2 linked regions of the Neurospora crassa OR74A genome follow. The protein of the gene in region 1 interacts with the protein of each later gene in a pairwise test. Links are inferred from orthologs where the notes say so. Each region holds a gene or a part of one and is shown on either strand. Other genes may lie near its edges. The genes, in order: stk-24 and stk-58.

Region 1 (16,020 bases):
CCAAGCCTCGCTCCTTCCAAGCAGTGAGCTGCGTGGCCCGGTGTGTGCTCCTTCCCGTCTCTTTCAACAGGGAACCTGGTATGTACTGCGACTTTCGGCAGGCGATGCGGAGTCTTCGGGGATGTTTGGGTCGGGCGGAGGATACTCTCGAAAGAATGAATGACTGACTGACTGACTAAGAGCGCAGGTCGTGAGCAGGCCGGAGAGGAGATCGGACGTAGTGAGGAAAGCAAGTGGAAAAAGGATGGGAAGAGAAAAGAAAGGTTGGCGATATGGAGCAGCGCAGGCAGGCGCAGGTAGATCCTAGGTGATGCTAGACTGTGGTGGACTGTAATGGTGAGTCTTGGCCTTGCGTTGGTGGATGCAGCCGGAGGTCATGCAGTGACGGGAGTGGCAGTGAGGAACAAGGTGAAGAAGGTGGAAGTGTAGTGATTGGAGGTTACGGTTTCTTTCTTTCTTGTCTTGTCGAAATGGTTTTCTATAGGTTCCATCGCCCGCCGCGGTTGCCCGGCCGCGCGCTCAGTTGTTGAGTGGCAGCAAAGCATATGGAATGTTACTACCCGCAAGGTAACGGGCATGATGTTCTTGACCTACAGACCTCCAGTCTACATTTCGTTTCAGTCAGATGCAGTATACGTAGAGGTACCTCTAGACATGGAGTTAAGCATCCTGGCAAAACCGCGGTATCTGTGATCTCTTATAGAGTACTTCCTCTTGACAATTTACCAGGCACAACCGATACTTTGAATCTATAGTGTTGAATTCCGAAGGTATCGTGGCCAGACTCCTTGGGTCACAGCAACTTCCTCTGTTCGACATTTATTGGGATTATTGTGGCTGTTGGTCCGGGCTGGATCACCCCGCGCTTGCGTAGGCGAGTTTCTGTGATGTTAGTATCAGGTCAGGCCACTTGTTAGCCAAGCCCTCACAGCCTATCGCAAGCTGTGCTAAGCAGCCAGCCAATCTGTTAGTGCATAACATGTTCACTAGCCGCCGCTCTTAACAAACTCGAAGCTCCCAAACTTGAATGACGTGAGAGATACCCGACCTGGTTCGTGGCCTGGATCTCTTCCTCCAGCTAACAGCTGATGTGTTCAATGGGTTCCCATCAACACTTTTGACTGAGACTGGGCCAGAGGATATCCAGGTGTTATGGTGACAGGAGTATCGCGACCTACCCTCAGTCAAAGCATCGATCTGTTTGCATGCGCTTTCTCGACTTAACAAACCATCATTTGCCCGCATTTTGCGTTTTTATTTACACAGTACTTAGACGATTCATTAGTGACGTAACGAAGTATTGCCGGTTGATTGTTCAGGACGAATTTGTTGTCGGTGTTTCAAGATGGCCAAGAACACAACAACCTGAAGCTCTTCAAATTCGCGCCAGAGCTGTGATAATAGACCTAACTGCCCATCTACCATATAATTCGGAGCTTAACATTTGGGCAACAACACTTCCATGTGTCTTGGATTTTGAGGTCATCAGCACCTCCATTTCAGTTGACTGGATTCACCGGCTGTTTTTTTCACATCCGTCGTTCGAATGACGTCCGATCAACTGAGTCCAGTCGGTAAAAGCCCCAGAGTGTGGGGTCGAGTAGGAGCAACTGTTCCCTTCGCATCCGTCATGCATGCAGTGCGAGGACGTCCATCCAGTACTTGGACATATTGAACGAGGTGACTGCCCTAACAACGGGAAAATCTGGCTTAACATACCCAAGTATTTTGACACAAATAGACGCCAATTTATCGTGGCTCCGTAAACCAAAAGCATATGATAGATATGTCGGGTTTTGGGCCACGGCAACCTAAAAAAATTCCAAGCCCCTGACCCTCTTCCCGCGTCCCCCTAACGTAAACACTAAACCAACTGAAGCAAGCTCGTGATAACCAGCGGGGCCCAGGGATTCTACACTACGTCTAGTGTAGTGTCAGAGGTGCATCTTGCTCCGATTATCGCTCTCCAACCCTGACACAACACGACCTCTAGCCTGATAATCTTGCGACAACCCGACTCCAAGTTCCTTTTCCCTCTCTTCACCAAAATTACTCTGTTTCGCATGGCACCGACGGTATGCCGTGCTTCTTGCTGCAAAATGCGAAAGCGCCCGTCCGGCTGATGTGCACGGCGGGAGACCTGGGCATGGTGGCGCGAAGAGGAACAAGCCGAGGACAGCTCCTCCTCAAGTGGGCGATGACTCGGAGCTGCACGAGCTCTACTTCAGTTGCAACTCCAAGACTATCAGCAACACCAAGGGCACGAACGATATCTCTAACCCCTCAGACTCGATGTACACATAGCCAGCACAGTCCGAAATGGCGCCCGGTGTCTGTTCTAGACGAGTATGCGGATTTCCTGTCCTTGCCTTGACATCACATGCACCAGGAGCCCACGCTTACAATGTGATCTCTTCACTTACAGATGGGTCGCAAAGGAAGCTCGACCGATCAGTTTGCGCCAATTGATGGTCTTTGGCCGTTCCCTGACCGAGTCGAGGTTGATTAGCTCTGCCAATTATGTGCGAACAGAGCTTCCGACGAGGTAAGCTCTAAACTAGACTCTCCAACATCGAGACTACCAGAGTTACAGCATCTGACTATGTATGCGACAACTCGGACAGAATTGCCCACCGCATCCGCGACATGCAACGGCTCCCCTACGTAGTAGTAACCAACCCACACATGAACGAAGTCTACGACCTCTACTACTCGGCTTTCGACACCTTCCGCAAGGTCCCCGAAATCAAAACGCTCGAAGACAACGACGCCCTATGCGCCACCATCCGCTCCAACCTCAAAGCGCACCTGACCGTGATCCCCAAGCTAGCCATGGGCATACTGGAGTCAGCCGGACTCATGGACGCCAAAGAGCTAGACAAGTTCATGAACACAATTCTCCGTTCTCGCATCTCGCGCCGCGTCATCGCCGAGCAGCACTTGGCTCTAACCGACACCTTCCACGCGCCTTGGTTCTCCCCCGGCGCCAAGCTTTCGGAATCCGAGTTCATCGGCGAAGTCTTTTTGAAGTGCGTCGCCAAGGATGTCGTCGAAAGATGCGGCCAAGCCATCCGCGACATTGCGCAGCACGCATACGGGCCCGACGTGGCGATCCCCGAGATCAAAATCGACGGACACCTGGAGGCCAATTTCCCTTATATCCTCAGCCATCTCGAGTACATCATCGGCGAGCTACTCCGTAACTCGGTGCAGGCCGTAGTGGAGAAACACCAGCGTTATAAGGAGAAGGTAGCGGCAGCGGGAGGGAAGACCGACGAGATTGGCCCGCCGCCTGCGATCGAGGTGACAATCTGCGAAAGCCAGCAACACGTCATCATTCGCATCTCGGACCAAGGTGGCGGCATCCAGCAGGACGTCCTGCCGTACTTGTGGTCCTTTAGCAAAGGGCCTGCGAGTCAGCAGCTGCTGACGAATCTGGAACAGGTGCCCAAGATGGCCGCGACGATGCAGGAGCTCAAGGTCGAGGGAAGTACCTCTAGCGAAGCTGGGACAACGGTGGGCAAATTGCAACAACAGCGGCAGGAACAGCAACAGCAACAGCAACAGCAACAAAAACAACAGATCAAAGGCATTCACAACGGGAACAACTTCCCCGGCGACCCGGGTTACTGCAATTCGTTGGCGACGCTGACAAGCCGCCCGCCGAACCTACGCCTGGGCATGGGGTTGCCTTTGAGCAGGGTGTACGCCGAGTACTGGGCTGGTAGCCTGGCGCTGCACAGTCTGGAAGGGTATGGGGTGGATGCGTTCTTGCAGATCTCGAAGCTGGGGAACAAGAATGAGCAGCTGACGACGCGGGCAACGATGGATGCCGTTTAGAGGATATCCAATAAAGTGTAAGTGGGATGGGTGGAAGGGGAGGAGAAAGGAATTATACCCAGTAATGGTTCGGTTCAGAAGAGCATAGGAAGGGCATCACAGTGACCTGGTGTAACGGATAGATTATTCACGCGTGTGCTAAGTCGGGCTTGGTGTACGGAGCAACCTCTTGTATTTTCAACGCAATATTGTTAACTGGGCATGATATGGAAATAGCAACTCACTTTAGTAGCACAGGTTTGCGCTTAGCTTAGAGACCTTTGTCAACTCTCAATTCGAAGCACTACAGTCATTAAGTCAAAGCTTGTACTCAAAAGTGGTAGCCTTTCTCATTATTTGGTATCATTGAAAGGGGGGTTGCTATCAGAATTACATCGTAGCTAAGACGGACAGAAAAAAAAAAACTGGCGTGATGGGGTAAAGTTAAGTGTAAAGGGTGTGGTAAAATGTCAGTTGCCGCTCGAAATCTTCCAAATATCTGTAACTTTTCATCCCCATCTCCTGGGCCTCCCTGCGCGATTCGGGCTATGCAGAAAGGGTCTGTGAGAAGATGAGGGAAACCCGGGCAAGTGTATAAAAACATGAGGAGCCTCCCCTTCTATAACAAGCCTCGATCGATGACCGCGCCATCCTACCAAACCGCAGCATATCCATGAACATCGTCTTTCAAGGTATGTAAGTCGCCCAGTTCGTCTTCACGTAAACATGTCGAAAAAAATCGAGGCGCAGGTACATTAATGCTCGATAGAACGGGAGACGGTGGTCACCCTTGTAGAGGATACCGCAAAAGCCGTGATAACCGCTTAGCGGCGACCGTGGCTGCGAACGGCATTTCCCTGCAGAGACTCGAGTTCCATCTCGAGGGACTTGATCTGGGCGTGGGTCTGTTCAAGGTCCTTGTTGAGACGGTCGCGCTCGGCAATGAGCTTTTGCTCCCACTGCCTGAAACGCTGCTCCTCGATCTTGACCTGTTCTGTGAAGCGCTTGCGGAGAGCCTCCTCCTCCTCCTTGAACTTGGGGTTGTCGAGCTTCCTTGGGCGAGCCTCGCCGAACTTGCGGGTCTCCATTTGCTGGGCGCGGTAAGCCTCGTAGTGCAGCTCCTCTGTTGTGTGGATAAGGTCCAACATGTGGGTGCGGATAAGAATCGAACGGAGCTTCTTGAAGTCGCAGTGTTCCTCGTTCTCGACTTCGGCCACACCCCACGAGTATTGACGGCCCTTGACAATACGTCCATCGCTGGTCTTAACATCCTTCTCGGAGCCGATAACGGCAAAGGGCATAGCGGCCATCAAGCTGCGTGCGTGTTGTGCGGCAGCCTCGTCATCCTCCTCAATAGGTGGCTGGTAGATCTTGATACCCTGAGCTTCGATGACGGCACGGATCTAGAAGTCATGGTTAGCGATGATGGGTGGTATCTTCAAGTAAAGGGAAAAACCTACCCTGGACTTGAACCTCGCCAGGTCGGCAGGGCTGAGAGTGTCGGCCTTGGCAATAACGGGAATGAGGTTGACGCGAGAGCAGAGTCTCTTCATGACCTCGATATCTAGGGGCTTAAGCGTGTGGCCGGTGGGGCGGATGAAGTACAAGCAGGCGTGGACACGGAGATCAATCTTGTCCTGACGGCGGGGTTGTTGCTCCTGGAGCATGTAGGACTCGTGCTGGTCGTCGAGGAATTCGATAATGGGCATCCACGAGTCGCGGTTGTTGACGTAGTCACCAAAGCCGGGGGTGTCGATAACAGTCAGGCGAACTATAAGCTGGTTAGACAGAGCTCTCCTACAAGACACCAAGGTCCCCCTGCGTGATGTGCTGTCGTACCCTTGAAGAACTTCTCCTCGAGCTCAGCCTTTGTGATTTCGATCTCGACGGTCTTGTCGACCTGCTTCTGGTGGCGCCTCTTGTGGTCGGCATAGTTCTTGATGGTCGTGGAGAACAGCGTGTTGATGAAGGTGGTCTTGCCGAGGCCGGACTCGCCAGCAACCTATCCACCCACGCCGTCAGCATTGGTTTTACAAGCGCGAGGTTCGGCAAGCTTTGGACAGTGAAGCGCACCATAATAGTAAAAGCAGCGCCTCTCTTAGCAACAATCTTGTGTCGCTGGTTGGGCAGATTGGCAATGCCAATCGGTGAGGCGCTCTCGGTAGTGGCAGGGGCCATCTTCAGCTGGGCGAAACACGAAACTGGGAGATAATTATGGGTAGAGGATTAAGTCACGATCCCGTTGCTGTAACGGCGAGAAGAAGCACCGGCAATTGGAGAAAAAGAGCGTCAGGCGGGATGCGTGGTGTACGGGTATGGTGGTGGTCGTGAATGGGAATCGAAATTAGGTTGGTGTTGACAGTGGACGGGTGGGAGCGAGAGGCAGACGGGGGATGGAACTGCAGTGGTGAGTGGACGGGGGACCCGTCGTGGAGCTCTGTGCTTTCGTTCAGGGGAATTTACTTGTTCAAATTTCCACACCACATTCATCTGGCCCAACCCAGCACCACACACCCACGCAGGAGAGAGCACCAGCGACGGGGACGGGAGCGCCAGGCCAAACCTAGCCCACACTGACTGAACCCCAAGCACTCCAGGCACTGCAGGGCCGCGGCAGCAGACGGACGGAGCAAGCAGCGAGCAAGCAGCATTCGATTCCATCCTCCAGATGAGGTGCCTGGGCGGGGCCACGGCAGCCGTCTGTGATGATGCCGAGAAGGCGCACGGTACACGATCCATATAATCCAATGGCACCTTTCGAGCCCGGCATTCTGCAGTAGTGTAGAGCTGCCACCACACAAGGCCGCTCTTGACTGGCTGCGCGGCAGGGAAATGAGTGGACCCTCCCCTTTTCCACTTGCTTCCCACACTTCCCCAATTCCAGGTCCCCAGAGACGGACCTACGCTGGCAGCTCTCCACTGAAACGCGCTTGCCAGGTACCCTCGCCGAGCATTTAATCGATGCGTGCCTTCCCTGCTAGCGCCATTGGCGGTGATCAGCCATTCATTGCCATGGAAACTTGGTCGACCCTTTGACCCTTTGATTGCCAGCTCTGCCAGCCTTGCACTGTGCTTGGTGACCGTGCTTGGTGGTGCCGTGCAGTGGTTGGTCTCGCTGCGGTCGGTGAGGCTGCCAGATACGCCAAGTCTTTTGCCAGCTGGTGCCAAAGCGAGGAGCTAACCCGACTCCATTCCCCGCCAAAAAGTTTATGAAATTTTTGGCTGGCAGAATCGCCATTGAACGTACGGGCGGTCTAGGCGCAACAGCAGCAGCCTGTAACTGAACTTCTGTTCCACTTACCTATACAGACTCGAAAGAGTCCTCCAGTTCCTGTACATAATCGAATCCCCAGATACTATCCCAGTTCTGCTCCATCTCCAACGTTGACAGTCGAGGCATGGAATAGTGTTTGAAAATGAAGACCGACTTCAAGTTTTCTAATCTACTGGGCACAGTCTACTGCCAGGGCAACCTCTTGTTCAGCCCGGACGGTACCCATCTCTTCTCGCCCGTTGGCAACAGGGTGACAGTCTTTAACCTTGTCGAGTACGTCTCAAGATTCCCTACACACCTGCCTGGCGCATGGCTTGTAAGCTGGCTAACACGGTCGCAGTAACAAATCATATACCCTTCCCTTCTCCCACCGAAAGAACATTGCGCGTATCGGTCTCACGCCCCAGGGCAACCTCCTACTCTCCATAGACGAAGATGGCCAAGCTATTCTCACCAACGTGCCCCGGCGCGTAGTACTATATCACTTCTCCTTCAAGGCTCCAGTAACGGCTCTCTCCTTTTCGCCATCGGGGCGCCACTTCATTGTTGGACTCGGCAGGAAAATCGAGGTTTGGCACGTTCCCTCAACACCCGACGCCAACGCCGACGGCGAGCTCGAGTTTGCGCCCTTCGTCAAGCACCATACCCACGTCCAACACTTCGACGATGTCCGTCACATCGAGTGGTCCCACGACTCGCGATTCTTCCTCACATCTTCCAAGGATCTCACAGCAAGGATATGGAGTGTTGATCAAGAGGAGGGGTTCACACCTACAGTTCTGTCCGGTCACAGGCAGGGTGTCGTGGGCGCGTGGTTTTCCAAGGATCAAGAGACGATTTACACAGTCAGCAAGGACGGCGCCGTATTCGACTGGCAATACGTTGCGAAGCCTGGACAGGACGAGGATATGGTGGACGACGATGACCTGGCCTGGAGGATAGTCAACAAGCACTATTTCATGCAGAACAGCGCCACCGTACGATGCGCCGCTTTCCATCCCGAATCGAACTTGCTGGTTGCCGGTTTCTCGAACGGTATCTTTGGCCTCTACGAAATGCCCGACTTCAACATGATCCACACTCTCAGCATCTCCCAGAACGAAATTGACTTTGTGACGATCAACAAGAGCGGCGAGTGGCTGGCGTTTGGCGCATCCAAGCTTGGTCAGCTTTTGGTGTGGGAGTGGCAGTCCGAGTCTTACATTCTCAAGCAGCAGGGCCATTTCGACTCGATGAACTCCCTCGTTTACTCTCCGGACGGTCAGCGGATTGTCACAGTCGCCGATGATGGAAAGATTAAGGTGTGGGATACGGAATCGGGATTCTGCATTGTTACCTTCACAGAGCACACGAGCGGCATCACTGCTTGCGAGTTCTCCAAGAAGGGCAATGTCCTGTTTACCTCGAGTTTGGACGGTTCCATCAGGGCTTGGGACTTGATCAGATACAGAAACTTCAGGACCTTTACAGCACCAGAAAGGCTATCTTTCTCTTGCATGGCAGTTGATCCTAGTGGCGAAATCGTGGCGGCTGGCTCCGTTGACTCTTTCGACATTCATATTTGGTCTGTCCAGACTGGCCAGCTCCTAGATCGTCTTTCGGGACACGAGGGCCCTGTGTCATCCTTGGCCTTTGCGCCTAACGGCGGTCTTCTTGTGAGTGGTAGTTGGGACCGCACTGCCCGTATCTGGTCCATCTTCAACCGCACACAAACAAGCGAGCCTCTCCAGCTCAACTCGGATGTTCTCGACATTGCCTTTAGGCCAGATTCTCTCCAGATTGCCATCTCCACTCTCGACGGCAACCTGTCGTTCTGGTCGGTCTCGGAAGCTGAGCAGCAAGCTGGTCTTGATGGACGCAGGGATGTCTCCGGCGGTCGGAAGATCGGTGATCGCAGGACTGCGGCCAATGTTGCCGGTACCAAGGCTTTCAACACCATCAGATACAGCACAGACGGATCGTGCCTTTTGGCCGGCGGAAACAGCAAGTATATTTGCTTGTACTCCGTCACCACCATGGTTCTCCTGAAGAAGTACACCGTGAGCGTCAATCTTTCAATTCAAGGCACTCAAGAGTTCCTCAACAGCAAGCTTCTCACCGAGGCTGGACCCCAGGGTCTCCTGGACGAGCAAGGCGAGGCCTCCGATTTCGAGGACAGGATAGACAGGTCACTCCCAGGCTCCAAGCGCGGCGACCCCTCCGCACGGAGGAAGAATCCCGAAGTGAGAGTAAACGGCGTTGCCTTCTCCCCGAACGGAAGTGCTTTCTGCGCCGCCTCCACAGAAGGTCTTTTGATCTACAGCCTGGACACCACCATCCAGTTCGATCCCTTTGACCTCAACATGGAGATCACCCCCACCTCTACCCTGGCCGTGCTCGAGAAGGAGAAGGACTACCTCAAGGCTCTCGTCATGGCTTTCCGCTTGAACGAGGCCGGTCTGATCCAGCGTGTCTTCCAGGCCATCCCTTACACCGACATCCCTCTGGTGGTCGAGCAGTTTCCCAACGTGTACGTTGCCAGGCTGCTGCGGTACGTTGCCGCGCAGACCGAGCAGAGCCCTCACGTTGAGTTCTGTCTTCTTTGGATCAAGGCTCTGGTCGACAAGCACGGCGCGTGGTTGTCTGCCAACCGCGGCAAGGTCGATGTTGAGCTTCGTGTTGTCGCAAGGGCTGTTTCCAAGATGAGGGATGAGATCAGGAAGTTGGCCGATGAAAACGTCTACATGGTTGACTACCTCCTCGGTCAGGCGAGCGCTGCTAAGGAGACTAATACCACCAAGACCTTGGCGCTTGAGTGGGCTACCACCGGCTCGGATGAGCAGCCGGGCGCTGGCGGTATGAGCTTGAACGATGTCATGCAGCAGGATGAGGGGAACGCCAGCGAAGACGAGTGGATCGGTTTGGTATAGGTCCTAGGATTTAGAGTACTATAGGATTTTTGTAACGGTAAGGAAGGGTACCACACATAGGATAGGCGCTGATACGGAAAATGTTTGTCAACCGGCATTCTAGTTTATAACTTGTACAGATGATTTTGATACCAATTCATGGCAATAGAGAAAATAGGGGTTTTGGGATACAACTACAACGCCATGCGAAACTGTGTGAAAGCAATGCCATACCCCCTTAGTCCAACATTTGTGGATTGCTAGATGCCTTTTACTCGACATTGGGAATATCCTCCCATGCCTCATCGAACCCACAGCTACGTACCCAGTTTGGTCCTGGTGCGAGGACCGAGTCGACAATCAGGTGGTAGACCTTGTTCCAGTAATCGTCATCTCTTGTTTGATAATAGAGCTGGCAAATACGTGCAGCTCGGGCAAGCTTGATGCTATGACCATCGTCCTCAAAGAAATGCAGGTTGGAAATGATTTCTTGAAAATCATCAGTATAAGTAGCGGTTCAAGGCCGACAGAAGCGAGGTAATCATCAACTCACCTTCAGGAGTCCCACTTGTCTTCTTCTCCTTAGGCTGATAAGAAGTAATAGCATCAAGCGACAACTCCGGCGCTCCACGCGCCGCGTACTGAACCAAATCCATCCTGATCTTCCACTCGAGAAGACGGACCTTGGTGTCAAGTGATATCCAATCTTGTGCGTTGACTGTCGTGAAAAACGGTGCTGATGTGACATGGTGCCTATAGAAAGTCGTTCGTCAGTCAGTATCAATCTTCCCGTCCAACTCCTTGCCTACCCCTTCTTGAATTCAAGGGGGGGCAGCGGTACGTGACCAGAAACACCAAAACCGGACGAGGAAACTCACATCAAGAAGAAATCAAACCTCGGCAACTTCGTATTCCTCTTCACCAACGCCGCCGCACTAGCCATAAACACGGCGGAATCATACATCTCCGCCGTCCTCTCCTGCAACTCTTCCTTTCCCACCTTCACCTTGGCCGCCAGCTGGATCGCCTCCTCTTTGGCCCTCTTCAACACTCCATCCCTGACTTTATTCGCATCACTCATCCTCGCCGCTTCCGCCAATTTTCTGTTTCCTCTCACTCCCCTTTCCAACAAGTCCTCCACCACCCTCCCCATACCGTCATCCGGTTTGCTGCTAGCTTTTGCGGCCTGCTCAGCTCCCAGGAGATACCCCCCAATCTCATCCCCATGCACAGCCGCCTGCGCCAACCCCTCCGCCACGATCGCCGGCTGCTTCCATTCCAGCCCGTACATGAGCTGGATCAGCGGATGCAAGAACCCGCTGTACAGCCTCACCAACAAGTTATCCGCCTCGGGCGTGCCCGCGAACAAATACTCATTCACCACTTGCTCATACTTTCCCTCGCCGCGGGAATCCATCTCCCGCTTGAAAAAGGCCAGGAAATCAGGGTAGTGCTCCTCTTTGCCCAGGTACTTGGCCGCGTCGTCCCGCCAGTTCTGGATCAAGTCGGACACGACTTCCTGGTGTTCTGGCAACGTAGGGCGTTGGTAGGAAGCGTTAACGTCGTAGGCTTTCTGCAGCGCTTCAGAGGGGGCAGAGGTCCCGTAGAGAGCGAGGAGGTGGTGAGGGATGTGGTTGTGGAAGCCGTCTTTGTTGAAAAAGACGTGGTGGTCGTGCATGTCGGCTTGGAGGAGGTCGGAGAGGAGCGTGTAGGCGGTGGGGGGTTGAGAGTGAATGGTGGGGGACTTGGACCAGAGGCCGATGTTGGAGGGGGTGATGTTGATGCGGTGGGGGGTTGCTTCGGCGGACATCTTGTTGATGGTTGTGAGGTGAAGACGTCGTCGAGTTGTGGTGATGATGGTCCTTGGTGGTATGGGAGAGATGATGTTGGCCTGGCGAAGGAGGAATGTCTTCGTGCCGGCGGGAGTGAAAGGTCGCATTCACGTTGATTTGTGTAGAGGCAACGGGCCGTGGGCTAAGGGAGTTAGAAGGCCTAGGAGAGGTTCGTGGAATAAATATAGTTGAACTGTATACGATATAGATCAGGTTATCGTCGGAGAAGAGGTTGATTATAGAAGCCAAGAGTAATGGTGTGTTGTTCACTTGATGGAGTATCACGAAGCCCGGTTGCTGTGGTGTTCGCACGTCAAGGTATTCCAAAGTCCGAATGCCGCTTATCTCCGCACTCGAAAGCCAACTCTTAGGTAACTGTTTTCCGTCCTACGCAAGTGCGTAGTAGGCCTCTGCTACTCTTACAAATCGAATTGAACTCTGACTGATGCGTTGTTGAGATGAAGCACAGTCTAATGCTGGTTTGTTTGTTAGCTTGGTACTCCTACTATTACACTAGACGAAATCTATCCCGTATTGCCCCAAACCTCAACGATTGAAAGAGGCAGTGACAAGATTGAATATAATATATTGCAGAGAAGAATGGCATGTACAAGGTAAGATCACGGCTTCATTATGAAACGGAACGATTTAGTGGAATATGTACACACCCACAGGAGTTGATCCCAGGTCTTGAGCTAACAAACAAATCGGCACTGAAGTGTAAAGTGGTATTGGGCGCGTGTAGTAAGACGGCTACGTCATTGACCCCCTTTCAGTCGTCCACACAGATCAACTACCTCTACCAAAACATTTGTAACCACCGGCCTTATCCGCACCCTACACTTTTAGGCGAGCTCGTCAGATTATCTGGAAAATAATAGTGTCTAACGGTTGAGGACTTGATAAATGTACATTCTAATAACATTAGGTTTACTGTTCTATGTGATACTGCCTTCTCTTTACCTTTCATTTCATTGCTCCCTTCGCTTCCGTGCTTTCCGTCGATATTGATTCCAAGTGCTCTCCTGTACAGTCCCAGACACTATCTATCTCCATGACACATTCAACATCAAGCATAAGTTCATGGCCAGAGCTGCCCATCATACAAGACGAGACGCGAAGCAGTGTCAACAGGAAAAGTGCACCGCTTCCACGCTTTACCAAAAAGCTAATAAGTCTCAAAATCGTGGAAAAAGACAAAAAAGCAATATGCGCTGTTCCTAACTACCTAGAAAAGGGTAGTAAAACCATCGATCCATCCTTTCATCCATCAGTTGCTCCATTCCCCAACGCTCCTGTATCCTGTCTAACCAGAGGCCCCGTTTTCAGCCATTGTATGTTTCTACTTCTTCCTTTCTCTCTTTCCAGCTGAGTGTATATGTATATGCGGTATGCTGTAGATAAGTAATAGACTTGTTCATCCTTTCTCTATAAGAAAATAAAAGTCACTCGGTGATGGCGCAGTTGAGTGGTTTCCTGCTTTTCGATTATATTGGTAATTCTTCTACGCCTAACGTCGACTTGGGCTGCGGTTCAACTGCTTTCTTGAGGCCTGTTCCGTGATCAATCGCTCAGAAGTGTCATGATCGTACCCAATGACTTGGGTAAGGTAGTAGTATCTGTTTTCGACGTGTTAGCATGTTTGTTCTCGCATCAACATTTAAAGGGGTGGACTCACTTCTCAGCATACGCCTCCTTAGCCCTCAAGTCTTCCCACAGCTGCTGGCACTCCATCCAAGCTTGGGCTCTCCTCCTAGGATCAATCCTCTTCACCAAGAACCTGAACCTGCCGCTGACCGGCCTGTGGTCCGACACCCGTACCTCGTGTCTCCTGTAGTCCAACTGTTCTATCCTGCCCCTGCCGCGGTATAAGAGTCTGTCGCACCAGGCTGGGCTACGCTTCTTCTCACTTGTGTCGTAATTATCCGTTCCAACATCGTATTTGTACGTTGGCGCGAACGTGATCGGAAGCTCATCAAAAGCTCTCAGCCGGAACCCGGGGTTTCTCCTCTTGGCAACAAGCAGCTGGTCACGCTCGAGCAGTTTTGTCAAGTTGCCCTGCTTGACTGCCGTTACTACCGTGTCACGGCTCATGGTGTCGATTCGGTAATTGAGATCGCCGTTGAGCACGCATAGTTCGTGGTCGAGGATCATGGTGCCGTCACCACCGCCGACGTAGCTATCGATACGCACGGCGGGGTCGCGCTCGGATGGGAAGGCAGACGCATCCAGGATCGCGGCTACGTCGTTATGCCGCTGGTTGGCGCCTGATTGACCCGCAGCCAGATGGCAGTTGATGAAACAGAGCGAAGTGTCGTCAACCAGGAAGCGCACCACAATGGCGCCCTTGTTGCCGTGTAGACCACCGAGGCCGCGCTTGACCTCGTTGCTGCTGAGATTGCTGATGCGTCCACGTAAGTCTGCCTTGACAAAGATACAAGTAAAGAGGCCAACCAGGGGAGAGGTGTGAAGCAGATGATACAAATCGCCCTGCATATAATCATCCAGACTGCGAATCAGGAAATCACGCCAGTCGCGATATTGGTGGCTCATCCGCTCTTGATCGGACCCTTCCTTCTTCTTCGGCTTCAGGAATCGCTTTGCTGTGGCTTTCTTGTCCTCGAGATCCACCAGTTCCTGGAATCCAAAAATGATGATGTCGGGGGAGTCGGCGGTCTGTAGAAGATCCCTGAAGAAATTGGCATCCGAATCAGAATATCGAAGACTGTGAGGAGTTGAAGCTCCCGCGTTCCATGTCATAATCAACACCTTGAGATTCTGGAACTCGCAGTATTCCACGTCTTTCCTCTTCATTTCGCCCTCAAGCCAGTCCTCTTGCAACAGCGCGTCCCAAGTTCGTACCATGTTATCTGCTCCAAGAGAGACAACCTGATACCGGTCAAGCTTGTAAGAGCTCGAGCGATCAGCGATCAACTTGATGACGGGATTTTCGTGGGCTACCCATTCCTTCTTGACAGCCCATGGGGTTTGTGTCACGTCGTAAACAGCTACCTTGCCATTGTTGTATCCAGCCCAGAGATACGAACCGGCTGCGGCAAGTGAGTTGATCTTGAACTGGCTGACATTCATTATACACTGACATGTGTAGTCTTTCCTGGAGTAGACGCTGACTTTTCCGTCACTATGGCCGAAGTAAACCATGTCCGGATCAGATGCAAGCACTGCTCCGGATATCACTTCGCCAGCATCTTGCTGACATAGGGCCCTCAAAAGAACCTGAAACTGTGTCTTCCCGTCCACAGTGGGTTTGAAGACCCGAATATCCTTGCCTGTCGCGTACCATAGCTCGTCTTCCACTACCATCGAGAAAGTGTGACCCCTAGGTACTCGGAACGACTGGCTGGGCCCGTTGGAGAGGGTCGGGGTGTGGCTCTCGTCTGGGCCCCAGACATTGAGGGCTCCGCTGTCGTCCAATGTCCATACTTCGTTAAAATGCCTGTATATCCTAATTATCTCATATCGGCCATGCGCATTCGGTAGACTGTCCGTGATTCTCTGCGTGCCAATATCGGCCTCCAGCAACTCTCCAGAGTTGTTGCCGATCCACACCTTTGTGCCTTCATCGTCGACGTGCGCCCCTGGTTTGAACATGACCGCGGTTCCCTTTTGCCCTTCACCCATGGACAGGCTCATAACCAGTTCGCCATCAAGTAAACTCCACACGCGTGTAAAGCCACCAGTCGTGCATACGAGCTCGCCGCACACATCGAGCATTCGAGTGTCGTACTTTGTGTAAATCTCATGAACGCCCTTGCTGATGTAAGGTTTGCTCCGGTTCGTGTTTGTTGCGTCAGGATATGCCATTGTAATGGTTGGCCCGGTGTTGGCTGTTCTGGATGAAGTGACCGGGACCACTTCGGGGATGCGTTCGGGAATGCGATCGTGAGTAGCAGCGCTGATCGGGGTTGGTGGCGCGCGGAATTCGTTAGGAACGCGGTTCGATGTCCTATCCACAGTCATGGACCTAACGTGAGTTCTGGACGGAACTGAAGGGTGATACTGATTTGGTGTCGACACTATCCGTTTCTGCGATATACTGCCGGGAGGGTTTGGATCCAAGTTCGCATTAACACCCGGCTTTGGAGGGCGCGGTGGCGGCGCCATCATCATCCCATTGAGTGTACGGCTTGTCTCTATGATGCTGTGCGGGCGAGCTGGGAGAGCTGGCGGTCGGTTCCCGCCTGTA
Region 2 (15,554 bases), on another chromosome or scaffold:
CCTACGAGCAGCCCCAGCAGCAACAGGTAGCAAATGGAAATCCATTCATTCCATGCATTTCCACACTGGATCGCCGAGTCTGGTGGTTGACCCCCCCTTCAGACCTTTCAGACCGTTCCAATTGATAGGTGTGCTAGTGTGGTTCGAGCCGAGCAAGCTGAGCCTCCCTGCCACTACTACCATAGCCTGTGAGAATTGTCGCTGTTTCCTTCCACCCGCCCGCCAACCCCATCATCTTCCACCAAAACTTCACTCCATCATCCACTCGCTTCGTTCGCTGGGTTGTCGCTTCCTTGTCTCTGTCCGCTCTTGCCCATCTTCTCCCCCATTCTCGCTTTACACTAGCGTACCTACCTAGGTAGTGTACACCCCCCTTCGGTCACTCGCTTCCCCCCCCCCCCTGTGTACCTTACCTACCGCCGCCTGCTGCTTGCTGCCCGCCCCTGCTGCTGGTGCTGCTAGCTGACGGGCAGCTAATCTGCAACATTCCGGATTTTTCGAAATCCGTTTCCTTTGCATCCGTCCCGTCGCAGGAACTCGACTTCACCTGCTGTCTGTCACTGTCACCGCACCGCTTTGCATTGCTTGTCGTTGACGTTGGCCGCCTTCACTCGCTTTGGTGGTTCTCTTCGTCCGATCTTTTTGCGCGATCGGTGTCGTCTCTCGTTTTGGTCCCATCTTCATCTAATAATACCACACACTACTACCATTACCACTACCACTACCAAGCAGACGGTACCAAAGAACGCGGTTGAAGCATTTGGCAGAGGATATCGACTATCGAAGCATCCACTACTGACCAGAGCTGAAACAACCACACGCGAAGCCTCAATCGCACAATTACTCGGCGATTATCGATACTATATACACACACTTCGACCACCACCACCGCTCGTTCGCATCGCTGTCCTTGTCGGTGAGGAAAGGCGTGGGCCAAGTCTACGCTCTTGTTCCCCCCAAGGGGCTCCCGGAATCCATCTGACACTTTGCCGTCATCCCAACAACACACCATGGCGAACCGCATGTCAATGTATTCCATGGCCTCGGACGCCGGTATGGGCGGACGGGGTCCTGGTCAGCAACAGCCATCCCAGGTCTCTACCACGACTCTTCTCAACTCCGTACACAACATCTACCTCTCTTCACAACCATACCGTCTGGACGCCGGCACAAGTCTCGTCGTCAACACATGGCTTACGGCCTCCCAAGCTGGTCCCGATGGCCACGTTGGTGGAACCGTTGATGGCGCTCTGGCTTTGAGGGCATGGGAGCACGCTCGTCGCCGTGCTGAGGATGGATGTATCATTCTTGGGTATGTCCTTGCTTGACCTACACACTTTGTCTGGTACTAACAGGTGAATGACTGCTAGATCACTGCACAACTCGACTCCTTCGCTCTTGCGACCCTTCCTGTCCACCATTCCCCTTGAGATCCCTGCCTCGGTGTACAAAGCACTCGATGCTATTGAACCGTTCCTTCGCTGTGTAACCCCTTACAACCCCTCCACTCCGAGACAGACCGGCTTGGCCGTCACCTTGACCCTCAACCTTACAGGCAACCTTACTGCCGCCTCACTCTCGCTCACACAAGGTGGTATCGACACCGACAAAGGCTTGTTGGGTGTCCCCTCTGAGCCTGGATACAGGGCCTTTGATGTCTTTTACTACCTGCTCACCACGGCCTCTACCCCCGCCGAAAGAGAGTTCCTTGGGCTCAAGGCCGCGTCTCAATACAGTCTTCTCGCCCGGTCCGGCACCTACGATCCCCCATCCTATCTTCCTACCGCCGATGATGGTGCCGCTGCCGACGACTTCAGGTCTGCCCTCAAGGACATCGGCATCAAGGGCTCTTCGCACCGCAACCTCATCTCGATCTTGGCCGGCCTTCTCAAGCTCGGCAACACACTCGATTACAATGTTGACCAAGAAGTTTTGGAGGAAATCTGCGAGGATGTCGGTGGACTTCTTGGTATCGAACCCGAAATTCTTGCCAGGCAACTCAGCACCGACGACCGGGCGACATTGATCGGAGGACTCTATGAGGCTTTGGTCGATTGGGTCATCAAGAAGGCCAACGATGCTATTGCCGTGCAGATGGGTAAATCCAGAAGTGGCGATGATTCTAGCGACGGTGCCTCCCGGAGTGGTGCGCCCACTTCCAACGAGGACAGTGGCGATACTGTCTGCCTTACTGTCCTCGAGATTCCCGACCAAAACTTGGGCAAGGCTATTGCCATGCGGGGCATCTTCGACGACACTCAGGGTATCAACTCGGAAATGAAGGCTGACGGCGTCGAGGTGGTTCCTGTTTCCAGCTCGGTTGTGCGGGAAATGCAGAGTGCTGTTGCAGAGTGTGGTCCTGATCTGGGTGTTATGGTTGGCTCGGTTGGCCGGGAAAGGCAACGCCTGATTGAGAAGCGCGAGGAAATCTTGGAAAAGACTGCCTTCGCATCAGAAGATGAGGGTTTCTTGAGGAAGCTCTTGCTCCCGGTTCCCACCGAGGGTATCAACCTCGGCCGCACTGGCCGTGTGGATGTTGCGGATCTTTTGAACCGCAGTCGTGCTTGGTATCACCTCTGCATCCACCCCACAGACGACTCACCTTCTAGTCTCGCTGCCCTTCCTGCCGTCAACTCAGCCTGGTCAGCTGGAGCTGTTTCTCGCCAGCTCCGCACCTGGAGGCTGTCCGAGTGGGCCAACAGACGCAATAAGCACATCGACTACACCGCCGATTTTGATCACCATGAATTTACTCAGCGATATCGGCCTCTGGGCTGTATGGATGGCCGTGACGGTATCGAGAGCTGGATCCTGGAGCGGGGCTGGAGCAACGGCGAGGTTGTCGTGGGCAACGAGAGGGTATGGATGAGGGAGAGCGCGTGGTGGGAAGCCGAAAGTATGTTGGACCTGAAGCCCATGGAAGCTGAGAGGCTCAACAGCATGCGCAACCTGATGGCCCCAGGGGCCATGGGCTCGGGCTATTCTCACAACGGAAGCGGCTTCTTCCCGCCTCAGGTACATGCTGACCACATGCGTTCTCCCTTTGCCGATGGAACCTCCAACGGGAGCTACGATCACCTCGCCCTCGGTGGTAATCTTAGCCAAAACAACCTCAACCCGAGCCCCGCGCGTGCTCCTTCCGTTGCCCCTACGAACATGACTGGCATGCGTAGCGGTGATTACGGTCTTGGTCCCAAGGGCGATCAATACAAGGGACAGGTCTTCTACAACGCTGAAGGCCAACTGGTTTCGGAATTAGAGCCCGACCTTGCTGAGGGCAAGAAGATCGAGGAGCGGCCTATCTCCTCCCAAAGGAAAATTTGGGTCTTTACTGTTTGGGCTTTGACGTGGTGGATTCCATCTCCATTACTCAAGTTCGTCGGTCGGATGAAGCGGCCTGACGTGCGTATGGCATGGCGTGAGAAGTTTGTTCTCTGCCTCATTATCGTTCTTCTCAACGCCATCATCGTTTTCTGGATTATCTTCTTCGGTCGTCTTCTTTGCCCCAATTTCGACAAAGCCTGGACTCTGGAAGAAATTCAGAATCATGCGGCAGGGGATGACTTCTGGGTCAGCATTGACGGCAAGGTTTACGACATCACCAAATTCTGGAGATTGCAGCACAGCGACAACAACATTGACACCACGTCGGATGTAATGATGCCGCTTGCTGGCCAAGACCTCTCCGCTTACTTTGTCGCGCCTCTCTACATTACCTGCCCCGGCCTCGGCATCGCGGATTCAACTACGTTGCAATTCAACACTACCCCTGAATATGTTGTGGCCCAGCATATCTCCGGCCCCACGCAGCCTAATATTCGGAGCAAGCTCTCTGAAAGATACTGGTATACCGAGAGATTCTTGCCTGCCATCAAGGAGTACTACCATGGCGACGTGGTTTGGGATTCCAAGAAGATTAAGCAGGAAGGCCTGGATTGGAATCACCCGTGGTTCATCTACGAGGATCTCGTTTACGACATGACCGATTACATGTACACCGCCAAGCGTATGAATAACGATGCTACATACACGTTCATCGACGCCAAGATCACCAACATGGTCAAGAACAACCCCGGCCAGGACTTGACCGAGCAGATTAACGACCTGATTGATCGCGCCAGTAGCAACACGACCCAGTATAATAGTGTTATGAACAGTCTTAACTGTGTCAAGAACGCGTTCTACGTTGGCAAGCCCGATTTCCGTTATTCGGCCAGGTGTCAAGTCAACAACTACATCTTGCTTGCATTTTCCGTTATTATCTGCAGTATCATCGTGGTCAAGTTCGTGTCGGCTCTTCAATTTGGATCCAAGAGACGCCCTGCTCCCCAGGACAAGTTTGTCATCTGCCAGGTGCCCGCTTATACCGAGGGTGAAGACTCGCTGAGGAAAGCCCTGGACTCTTTGACAGCCCTCCAGTACGATAACAAGCGGAAGCTGATCTTTGTTATTTGCGACGGTGTCATCGTCGGTGCTGGCAACGACCGTCCTACTCCCAAGATCGTCCTCGATATTCTCGGTGTTGACCCCAAGGTTGACCCACCTGCCTTGGCCTTCAAATCCGTCGGTACTGGAGCCGAACAGCTCAACTACGGCAAGGTCTACTCTGGATTGTATGAATTTGAAGGGAACGTGGTACCTTATATCGTGGTTGTCAAGGTCGGCAAGGAGTCTGAGCAGTCCAAGACGAAGCCCGGTAACCGTGGTAAGCGTGACTCGCAGATTCTGCTCATGAGCTTCCTCAACCGCGTCCATCACCGTGCGCCCATGAATCCCTTGGAACTGGAAATCTTCCACCAGATCAACAACATCATCGGTGTGGATCCCGAACTTTACGAATACCTCCTCATGGTCGATGCCGATACCTGCGTTCGCGAAGATTCTCTCAACCGCCTAGTGGCAGCCTGCGCCAATAACGCCAAGATTGCCGGTATTTGCGGTGAAACCAGTTTGCAGAATGAGGATCTTTCGTGGTGGACCATGATCCAGGTTTACGAGTACTATATTTCTCATCACTTAGCGAAGGCTTTCGAGTCTCTCTTTGGCAGCGTTACCTGTTTGCCCGGTTGGTAAGTTTTGCCGTTCCTCCGCTCACTGATTGTTGTAGGCAATACTGACAATTCAATAGTTTCACCATGTACCGCTTGCGTACTGTTGACAAGGGAAAGCCGCTCATTATCTCGGATGATATTATCCGCGAGTACAGCGATTGCTATGTTGACACCCTCCACAAGAAGAACCTGCTCTCGCTTGGTGAGGATCGTTTCCTCACCACGCTCATGACCAAGCACTTCCCATACATGTCTTACAAGTTCATTCCCGATGCCTACTGCCAAACGGCCGCCCCCGAGACTTGGAGCGTTCTGCTGTCTCAGCGTCGTCGTTGGATCAACTCAACCATCCACAACTTGGCTGAATTGATCTTCCTCGACGAAATGTGCGGTTTCTGTTTCTTCTCAATGCGCATTGTCGTCTTCATCGATCTCTTCGGTACTATTATTCTTCCCGCCACTTGCGTCTACATCGTTTATCTCATTTACACGGCCTCCTCCCACACTGCACCGTTCCCTCTTCTTTCGATCATCATGATTGCGGCCGTGTACGGTCTCCAGGCGCTCATCTTCATCCTCAAGCGCCAATGGCAGCACGTGGGCTGGATGATCATCTACCTCCTCGCCTTCCCCATTTACTCCTTCATCCTGCCCATCTACTCGTTCTGGCATCAGGATGACTTCGCCTGGGGTAATACGCGCGTTGTCATTGGTGAAAGCGGTAAAAAGCAAGTTGTCGCCGTCGACGAGGAGGGCTTCAACCCCCGTGCCATTCCTCTCCAGCGCTGGGACGAATATGCCCTCGCCAACAACCTTCCCGGTCGTCGCGGTGGCCCTCTTGAGAAGGGTATGGACGAGCATCTGGGCGGTATGTACGAGGAGACCTACGAGGTCGATGACATGAAGTCAGTCTACTCTTCGGTCCGCCAACCGTCCGTTCTTACTGGGTTCGGCGGTCGCGGTGCCGGAGCTTACATGCCCCCTCACAGCCCTGGTTTCCCGCCCAACGGCGGCGGTAGCGGCGCCATGACCCATGCCAGCACCTTTGTCGGCGCCTCCCCTTTCACCGAGCAGAACAACCTCATGAACCGTCAGAGCATGGCCTCGATGGGCACCATGGTCGAGATGCAGCGCCGCGCCAGCCCGTACCAGGACTTCCCTGGCGGTCATAGCCGCGGCCCCAGCCAGGGTGCTATGCGCTCCATGACCAATACGCCTCCCGCTCTCGGCGCCGGCGGCATGGTCAACGCCCGCCTGTCCACGGCCACGGGCATGAGCCTGGGTATTCCTGGACACCGTCCCGGCATGAGCCACTCGGAAAGTTCGCGGTCGTTTGACTTTCAGCGCAGCACTCCCGGCCCCGATGACCAGATGATCATCGAGGCCATCCAGGGCGTGCTCCGCGAGGTTGATTTGGACACGGTGACGAAGAAGCAGGTGCGGGCGCTGGTGGAGCAGCGGTTGCAGACGGAGTTGGTGGGTGAGAGGAGGACGTTTATGGACAGGCAGATTGATAATGAGTTGGCGAACATGTGAAGTGGAAACATGTGATCTGATACATGAAGGATGGAACCTGATTTCATGTCATAATGGATGCCGGGTATTGAAGTGACATGGATTGGATGGGTTTTTGGATCATTTTATCGTTTGTTTAGTGGTTTGAGACAAAAAAAATATTAATGGATATAGTAGCATAGACACTATCTTTTTTGGGAATACTTGGTAATTTCTTGGCTTCAAGTTTTATTGCATAGTTATAACATATCATAGCAATGTATCTCTTTGCATTTACACCCACGACGAGACTGAGTTTCTAATTTGTTGGTTAATGGTTGATGTTTGGTTGGCGTCATTAAGGAAAGGCACGATGAGGAATATGAATCTTGGATGTAAATGTTGAGTTCGAAATCAAACAAGTATGTAACATCGAACCGCGTTTCAAGCCACGTCCATCTCACTGGTCGATTCGCTTTGAACCATGAGCAGGAATAAACACAACAGTCTATTCTCCAGATTTGACGCGTTGAAGTCATATTTCTATGGACCCTCTTTCAAATCTCCCAGCCAAATACTATATACTCATAACCGGCAGGGCAACTTGACATGCGATCTATAACAGCGTACCGACCGGCCGACCGACCGACCGAACCCGACATATGTAGTATGTACACTCAATATTCGATCTTACCCACCCCTTTCAACCTCAAGTACACATCCGTGCCCCATCCGTACAAACTCTGCACCGCAATCCCTCCCCCAAAGTACTCAGCATACGCCCTACTCAGCGGCAACCCATACCCCAGCCCGGCAATCGTGCTCCCGCCCACGCCCGTATTCGAAATCAGCCCCATGGCCTCCTCCCCCCACGCCCCCGGCGACTCATGATGATCATCATCATCCGCGTCGTTGAACGTTGTGAACGAGTATCTCCAAATGTTCGGCAACACCGCCGGGTTAATGCCTCCTCCCCTATCTCTGATCCTGATCGTCACCCCGGGCGCACGGTCATGTAGCGGGATGATGCCATGCTGCGCTTGTTTTTGTTGTTGCTGTTGTTGTTGTTGCGCTGCTGCTTTTCCTTGCTGACTCGAAGAAATCGAATTCGAACCCGAAGAAGAAGATGAAGAAGAGTTCTTTTGGGAAGAATTGGGAGGGCAATAATCCGAGTAAACGCCGGGTGTCGCCGCGCTGGCGGAACTGCTCGCCGGCTCGGGCGCAATGGTTACCACGACCGGCTCGCGGCTCATGCCGTTTTCCACGGTCGCTCTGAACGCGTTCTTCAAAAGTTCCGTGACAATGTATTCGAGGTGCATCGGCACAAACGCAAAGGTGGCGTCCGGCTCGCCGTCCACCACCCACTCGGGGCGCACGCCGTAGTTGAGCTCGCAGATGTCGGCGACAAAGTCACCGCATGAGTCGATCACGCTGGCGGGCCGCAGTGTCGTGTCGATGACGCCAATGTAGGATGGGTGCGTCTTGGGCTCCGGACAGAGCGTGGGCGAGGCTTCCGGGTCGAAGTGCGGCGTAGAGCTGTAGTGCAGAGCTATGTGCTGCTCGGCTACCAGGCGGGTGCCGATGCGCGCGCGCAGGTGTTCATCGAGGAAGCGGGTCACTTCGCTAGGGGAGATGTACTTGCGGCATTCGATGAAGCCCTTGGCCAGGATGGGGATGGTGTCGGTGTGGGTTTGGACGAGCTCGGCGAGGACCTGGGTGAATTTGATCTCGTCGTCGAGCGAGCTGATGGTCTTGCCTTGCCAGGGGAGCAAAGTCGAGAGCGAGTGCTGGTAGTTGTTGTAGATGCGCGAGATGTTGGGGTTAGAGACGACGATGTAGGGCAGGTTGCGCAGGGCTTGGATGCGGTGGGCGAGGCGGATGGGGAGCAGGGAGAGGGTGAAGCGCGCCGAGGAGAGGAGGGCTTCGGCGGAGAGAGGGGGGCGGCCGTGTCTGGGAGAATGAAGCCATTGTTAGATCAACGCCTTGGATAAAGTGGAATTGGTTGTTTACTTGACAAGATCGGCCAGACTCAGCTGATGTAGAGGCTGGTTAGCCAGCCATGGGACTTTGTCCTCTAGCTCATGGCGACTGCTGAGCGGGCGGTCGTAATGGGGTCTCGCGATATTCTGGTTCAGGATGGAATACAGTCTCGGGTAGTTTGAGGAGCTCAAGGCGGCCTTGAGAGGGCTGGGAAACCTCGACGGCCTCGCGATGGATTTCATGTCGGCATGTTGTGCGGTCGCGGGTTTCTGTTACGAGACTGAATTTGGGACTACAACGTACTTCCAATTTTGGTGCAACAAGTACGTAGGTAGGGTCCGGTGGAGAGTGCCGTGTTGCTTCAGTTCGTTGTCATTCGGTGGTGTGTGTGTGTGTGTGTGTGTGTGTGTGTGCGCGCGGGACGGCGATCAGCGCCGCGATGGGATGACATAGGTAGCAGTCCACGCTGAAACAGGGTTATCGTGGTCCAATCGATATGCTAGGCGATAAGGGGCTGCCCACAGGCCGCTTGGAGTAGGTTGGAGCACCTTGAGGACTGGGCTGGGCTGAGGAGGGCTTCCACTTCCACTTAGGTGCTTGTGCTTTGGCTGTGCTTCCCGTTCTGTCTCCTCGGTGCTGTCGGGTCGGTTGCTCTCTCCTCCATCCAGCATGACGCATCCCCATTGCAAGTCTGGACTTCCTGGTTGAACACATCCCTAGGCACAGTCAGTGACACGATTCAAGTCAACATGTGCAAATTGGAAATCTTTCTTTGAATTCATAACAATCATCAAATGGCCGCCTTTATCTATTCCAGTGGAGAGTGTCACTGGAACGACAGCGAAACCGGCAGGTAAGCCCCGGGCCCCCTGTCGCTGTCAACACTATGTAGCTGAGACTAGGTAACCTCCGTCTCGCTGTTACCCCGCGATTGGTGCCCCGCATGAGATCCATCACCAGATCATGCTTCTCTCTCTGAGCAGGCGACTGTAGTCTCATCCTATACCTGTCCTTCCCGGGCTAATGTCATATCATTCCCAATGTCGTTGTCCTTGACGCCTAATGCTTCAAACATGCTGTTGAAATCGGATGCGCTCTTTTACTGGGTCCTGACCTCCTGGTCGGCCTCGACGCCCTTGACGTGCTCGTGGTTCTCAAGGGTGAAAACAGCGCCCTCGGGATAGATGGCCCTGCAGTTAAAAAGAGAGGGTCAGCTCTTGTGTCTAATTCTGAAGACGGAGGCTGTCATACTGGAAGGCCTTGATGAGGGTGTACTCGTGGCCAATCTTGCCGCCCTGCGCCTTGACGTCCTCCTTGGTCTTGGCGATCTCCTCATCGGTAGCGGTGTCCTTGAGGGTAACCTGACATAGTGAACAGCTGAGGTCAATAAGAGTCTTATGGGTAGTGTGAGGCGCGAGTGCGGCATGCTTACAATGTAAGAAGGCATCTTTGCGGTGGTGGGAGGGTTGTTTGGTGAAAAAGTTGGTGTTGCTGTATGGAAATGTTGAAACAGAGTGTAGTGGTTGGTCGTGAACTTGGAAAGTCGGTACTGCGTCTCGAGGAGCGGACGAAGGAGCATCTTATACGTGATCAAGGGACATGCACAAGTGGACTCGAACTACCTACACCACAGATGCACATGTGCCAGATAAGCGGCAATCATGCTAGATTGGTCTTCCTGCCACGCCGTCAGGAGCCACAAGTGACGCGGCACCAGGGACATTAGCATTCTCTGGAGCGGATGATACGTCATATCCACTTGGACCAGACTTGCTGCGCCTACCGCAGGTCGTTTTGTGACTTGTGACACTCTTTTGGCTGCCAGGCGTGGGGATGACAGAGACAATCCTTCATCTCAGCGCCCAACAAGACAGCCTTGCACACAACCACCTAACGAGCGCTTAGGCGCGGGCTGAGACACTAGGAGTGGTGTGGGAGGATGGATCCAGTCATCTTCCGACCATCTTGCTACTCAGGATCTTGGATGTTGTTACCTATCTGTTGTAACTCTGAGCCTAGCCTATACGCCATACCCTCCTCATGTGTGTAAATCGGAAACCCTCCTTCCCGCGACAATTACGTATGTAACCCTCAAAATGGTGTGTTATGCAAGAAGGGCTGCCATGGCCCATGGCTGTTTGACTTTGCGGGCCCATTCGACGTTCCTATGTCGAGGCCGCAAGTTATCAACTATGATAGCTCTTTCATGGTCTCGACTCTTCTTCAACCGTTTGTTGGGAGGTCCCTGAACAATCCAATGCATTTACATAGCGTGGTATGTAGTCTCCACCAGTGAGGGAGGGCTTGGTACAATAGAGGTAGTTAGGTTGGTCATGCTCAAGACAGCACAAGATATCTCAACCACCCAACGGAATATCTTCGTATAAACCTTTGGAAATAGTTACTCCGAAGACACAGCTCACCCAGTAGTTGGTTGAAGATAAGAAACGGGACTATACGTTGGGTTCGTCTGTTGTTCAAGGTTCCAAGACTTGAAGGTCGGGACTGCCTGTCAGGGTCTCCAACTCCCCGCATGCTGCCACTGCTTAGTAGCGGGTGCTGCCGGGGATAGGTCCCGTCGCCTGCCGCGGAAAGAGGTCCCACTATTCAGGTATCTTATCGCTTATCGATAAACGTCTTGGCGTTCCATCAGAAAACCGACTATCCAAAAAATTTGGACAGCAGCTTTTTGGCAGCAGTTGAATTGGGAGCGAGTCCCGTCGCATTTCCACTTGCACCTGTTTTCGCGACCGCGTGTCCATCTATACTACTGAACTTGCAAAAAGTTCACGGACACCAGCCGTAATCATGGCCGACGTCCAAGCCCACAAACCCCATCGGGCTTCCAAGAAGTCCAAGGAGAAGGGGGCCTCCAAGCATACAGGTGGTATGTGTATTCAATTGTTTCTTTTATCGTTACTATCCACAGCTGACCGTCCCTGCAGAAAAGAACCCCAAGGCCTTTGCCTTCTCCAATCCTGGTAAACTCGCCAGACAAGCCGCCAGATCCCACGATGTAAGAAGACATTCCCTCGCTCCATCCTTCAATGACTTCTTATAATTAACTGGTCTTGTTCCGCAGATCAAAGAGAAGCGTCTTCATGTCCCCGCCGTCGACCGTCTCCCCGATGAACCACCCCCAAGACTCGTCGCCATCGTAGGCCCCCCTGGCGTAGGAAAGACCACCCTTCTCAAGTCTTTCATCCGACGATATGCAAAGGAAACCATCCAAGATCCGGTGGGACCTATCACGGTCGTCACCTCCAAGAAGCAGAGATTGACCTTCATCGAATGCGCCAACGAACTCGAGGCCATGGTCGATATTGCAAAGGTCGCCGACATTGTCCTTCTCATGATCGATGGAAACTTCGGCTTCGAAATGGAGACTATGGAGTTCCTTAACGTTCTTGCCGCCACGGGTATGCCCGGCAACGTCTTTGGCATCCTCACCCATCTCGACCTGTTCAGGAAGCCCCAAGCACTAAAGGAGGCAAAGAAGAGGTTAAAGCACAGACTTTGGAGCGAACTCTACCAGGGTGCCCACCTTTTCTACCTTTCCGGTGTCCTGAACGGCCGTTACCCCGATCGCGAAATCCACAACCTCTCCCGCTTCTTGTCCGTCATGAAGAACCCCCGCCCGCTCGTTTGGCGCAACTCCCACCCTTACACCATCATCGACAACTACCGCGATGTCACCCACCCCACCCAGATTGAAGAAGACGAGAAATGCGACCGAACGATTGAACTCTCCGGTTACCTCCGTGGTACAAACTTTTCCGCCGAGGGCCAAAGGGTACATATTGCTGGTTTGGGCGACTTTACAATCAAAGAGATGGAACAATTGCCGGATCCTTGCCCGACTCCCGCTATGGAACAAGCGCTGGCCAAGGCCAGTGGCAAGACTGGCAGAAGGCGACTCGACGAGAAGGACAAAAAGCTCTGGGCGCCCATGGCGGACCGCAGCGGCTTGAAAATTACTGGCGATCACATCGTTATCACTAGGGAGAACGGCTTCACATTTGACAAGGATGCTGTGGGCATTGAGCGCGGCGAAGGAGAACAGCTCATCATCGACCTGCAGAACGAGAGGCGTCTCCTTGGTCAAACGGACGAGGGTGTCAAGCTGTTCGCGAGCGGACAAAAGATCAACCAGCTCCCTGTCGAGGACGAGGATGTCGGAAACACTGGCCGCAAGAGCCGAAGAACCGCCAGACTTGCCGATGGTGAGAGTGGTGAACCGCCAGAGGACGAAGGCTTCGAAAGCGGAGAGGAAGATGAGATGGAGGATGGATCCGATGTCGAGTCCGAGTTCAACGAGATGAAGCTGGGCAAGATGTTCAGGAAACAGACCGACGACGACCAAGAAGAGGACATCGCCTTTGCCGACAGTGACTCCGACCTTGGTTCGATATCCGGCGATGAAGACCAAGGATCCGACTTTGACGATGACGAGGACGACGAGGAGGATCCTGAGCTCAAGTGGAAGGACAACATAATGGAGCGCGCAAGTCAGATACACGGAAGGAGGAAACCCTTCCGCGCTGTCGACTTGGCGAGGTACATGTACGACGAGTCGATGGCCCCCACAGAAGCCATCAAGAAATGGGCCGGTCAAGACGACGAGGAGGAGATCGAAGAGAATATCGAAGAGGACGACGAAACCTTCTTCCGGAGGACTGGCAAGGAGGACAAGGAGGACTCTTGGGAGGATCGCATGATTCCCAAGTTCGACTACGAACAACTAGAAGCCAAGTGGTCTGACAAGGACGCTGTCGAGGCTCTCCGAAACAAGTTCGCCACCGCCAACCTACTTGACGACGCTGAGGGCGAGGGCGAAGATGGTTCGGATTTCGAGGGTCTTGATGACGAGGACGACGATGATGAAGGTGACGGTGCCTTTGAGGATCTCGAGACAGGGGAGAAGCACGGCGCTGACGACGAGGATGAAGAAGAAGAAGAGGAGGAAGGAGAGGAGCAGCCAGCAGAAAGCCTTGAAGCCGAGCGTGAGAAGAACGCCCGCCGAAAGGAGGAGCTCAAGCTTCGCTTCGAAGAGGAAGATCGTGAAGGTTTCAAGAACGACAAGGCGATTGCCAGGCGAGAAGGTGGCAATGATGACGAGTTTGGAGAGGACGACTGGTATGATGCTCAAAAGGCCATGATCCAGAAGCAGCTCGACATCAACAAGGCGGAATACGAGAACCTTGATGAAAGCCAAAGGATCGCTGTCGAAGGCTACAAGGCCGGCAAGTACGCCAGGATGGTCATCGAGGGTGTCCCAGCAGAGTTCGTCAAGAACTTTAAGCCACGGATGCCGATCGTTGTCGGAGGTCTTTCGGCCACGGAGGACAGATTCGGCTTTGTGCAAGTTAGAATCAAGAAGCACCGTTGGCACAAGAAGATTCTCAAGACGGGAGATCCCCTCATCTTCTCCCTCGGCTGGCGCCGATTCCAGTCTCTTCCCATCTACTCCATCTCTGATTCTCGGACGAGAAACAGGATGCTGAAGTATACTCCGGAGCACATGCACTGCTTCGGTACCTTCTACGGCCCCCTGTGTGCCCCCAATACGGGTTTCACATGTTTCCAGTCCTTCTCTTCCGCCAACCCCGGGTTCCGTATTGCGGCTACCGGTACAGTATTGAGCGTAGACGAGTCTACCGAGATCGTCAAGAAGCTCAAGCTGGTATGTTACCCTCCGCCCTATTGTGTATGGTGTTTTTGATGCTAACAACTCGTCCAGACCGGTACACCATACAAGATCTTCAAGAACACGGCCTTCATCAAGGACATGTTCAATTCGGCGCTGGAAATCGCCAAGTTCGAGGGTGCCTCCATCAAGACCGTCTCGGGTATCCGCGGTCAGATCAAGCGCGCACTCGCCAAGCCCGACGGCCACTTCCGTGCCACCTTTGAGGACAAGATCCTGCTCAGCGACATCGTCTTCTTGCGCGCGTGGTACCCCATCAAGCCGCACCGTTTCTACAACCCGGCCACCAACTTGGTCGGCTGGCAGAGCATGCGTCTCACGGGTGAGGTCCGCCGCGACCAGAACATCGCCACGCCGCTCGACAAGAACTCGCAGTACCGCAAGATCGAGCGCGAGACCCGTCGGTTCAACCCTCTCCGTGTGCCGCGTGCCCTCGCGGCCGAGCTGCCCTTCAAGTCGCAGATCATCCAGACCAAGAAGCAGAAAAAGGAGACGTACATGCAGAAGCGTGCGGTCGTCGTCCGCGGCGAGGAGAAGAAGGCGCGCGATCTCATGCAGAAACTCACAACGATCCGCAAGGAAGTGGTGGAGAAGCGCAAGGCCAAGAAGGCGGAGCAGCACGAGAAGTACAAGAAGAGCCTGGAAGAGGCCGAGGAGCGGATCAAGAGCAAGGAGAAGAGGGAGAAGAAGGCGTATTGGGAAAGGGAGGGTAAGAAGCGTGGTCCTAGCGGCGACCAGGGTGGTGGTGGTAAGAGGAGGAGGTAAATGTTGTTGTCGTCAAGGGGAAAATAATTGCTTGTTTGTTTCAGTCATCATTGTCATCATCATCACCTGGGTTCACTTTTGGGAGTACTATTACTACTGTATATAGAGAGGCATCCACATCCATCGATTCATACCCGGGAAAGAAATTGTTTCTTTTTTGCTAGCACGAGCGAAAAGCATTGGTTGAGATATTCGCTAGTTGGTTGGTGGGTGGGTGGGTGGTCCTAGAAGTACTTGTTCGTGTGTGGGTGTGTTTTAGGGGTTGCATTGTAGCACAAATTGTTAGTGCATACTTGCCACTTGCCTCTGTTGCGGATTGCTCGATTTGGTTCCACTGTTCACGACGACAACCTCATAGTTTTTCGTTTCACGGCAGCAACACTCCCTCGCCTTTTTCCCCAATCATCTATCTGCCCTATTCGAGCGTTCACTCAATTCTCAGTCACATTCTCGGGAACACACAGCACGATTTGCCCAACAACCAACACAATATGCTCACCTTGACCACTCGTCAATCCTTACATCACCACCTCCCTTCATCACTTCCCCGAGTCCTC

The links.
Region 2: the proteins of stk-24 (region 1) and stk-58 interact in binary tests that used the Saccharomyces cerevisiae proteins (3 or more experiments, as listed by UniProt). The link is inferred for Neurospora crassa OR74A from reciprocal best matches to the Saccharomyces cerevisiae genes PKP2 and PKP1.

What each region holds. Positions count from the first base shown.
Region 1 is NC_026505.1:2,431,035-2,447,054, reverse strand, and holds stk-24 (pyruvate dehydrogenase kinase), read left to right. Parts: upstream 1-1,788; 5' UTR 1,789-2,077; coding exon 2,078-2,346; intron 2,347-2,425; coding exon 2,426-2,545; intron 2,546-2,624; coding exon 2,625-3,840; 3' UTR 3,841-4,142; downstream 4,143-16,020. Other genes in the region: NCU03795 (cell division control protein 12), read right to left, coding at 4,644-5,222, 5,280-5,590, 5,659-5,821, 5,893-5,997; NCU03794 (periodic tryptophan protein 2), read left to right, coding at 7,236-7,366, 7,434-10,002; NCU03793 (hypothetical protein), read right to left, coding at 10,253-10,470, 10,535-10,734, 10,860-11,920; NCU03792 (inositol polyphosphate phosphatase), read right to left, coding at 13,324-13,432, 13,492-16,020. UniProt on the Saccharomyces cerevisiae protein: Inhibits the mitochondrial pyruvate dehydrogenase complex by phosphorylation of the E1 alpha subunit (PDA1), thus contributing to the regulation of glucose metabolism.
Region 2 is NC_026504.1:3,682,740-3,698,293, forward strand, and holds stk-58 (mitochondrial pyruvate dehydrogenase kinase), read right to left. Parts: upstream 8,934-15,554; 5' UTR 8,768-8,933; coding exon 8,556-8,767; intron 8,496-8,555; coding exon 7,223-8,495; 3' UTR 7,035-7,222; downstream 1-7,034. Other genes in the region: NCU04350 (chitin synthase 6), read left to right, coding at 1,011-1,312, 1,371-5,069, 5,129-6,587; NCU16822 (hypothetical protein), read right to left, coding at 9,625-9,715, 9,777-9,886, 9,958-10,104; NCU04348 (ribosome biogenesis protein), read left to right, coding at 11,334-11,412, 11,471-11,541, 11,608-14,208, 14,266-14,997; NCU04347 (pyruvate formate lyase activating enzyme), read left to right, coding at 15,489-15,554. UniProt on the Saccharomyces cerevisiae protein: Inhibits the mitochondrial pyruvate dehydrogenase complex by phosphorylation of the E1 alpha subunit (PDA1), thus contributing to the regulation of glucose metabolism. Also involved in telomere maintenance.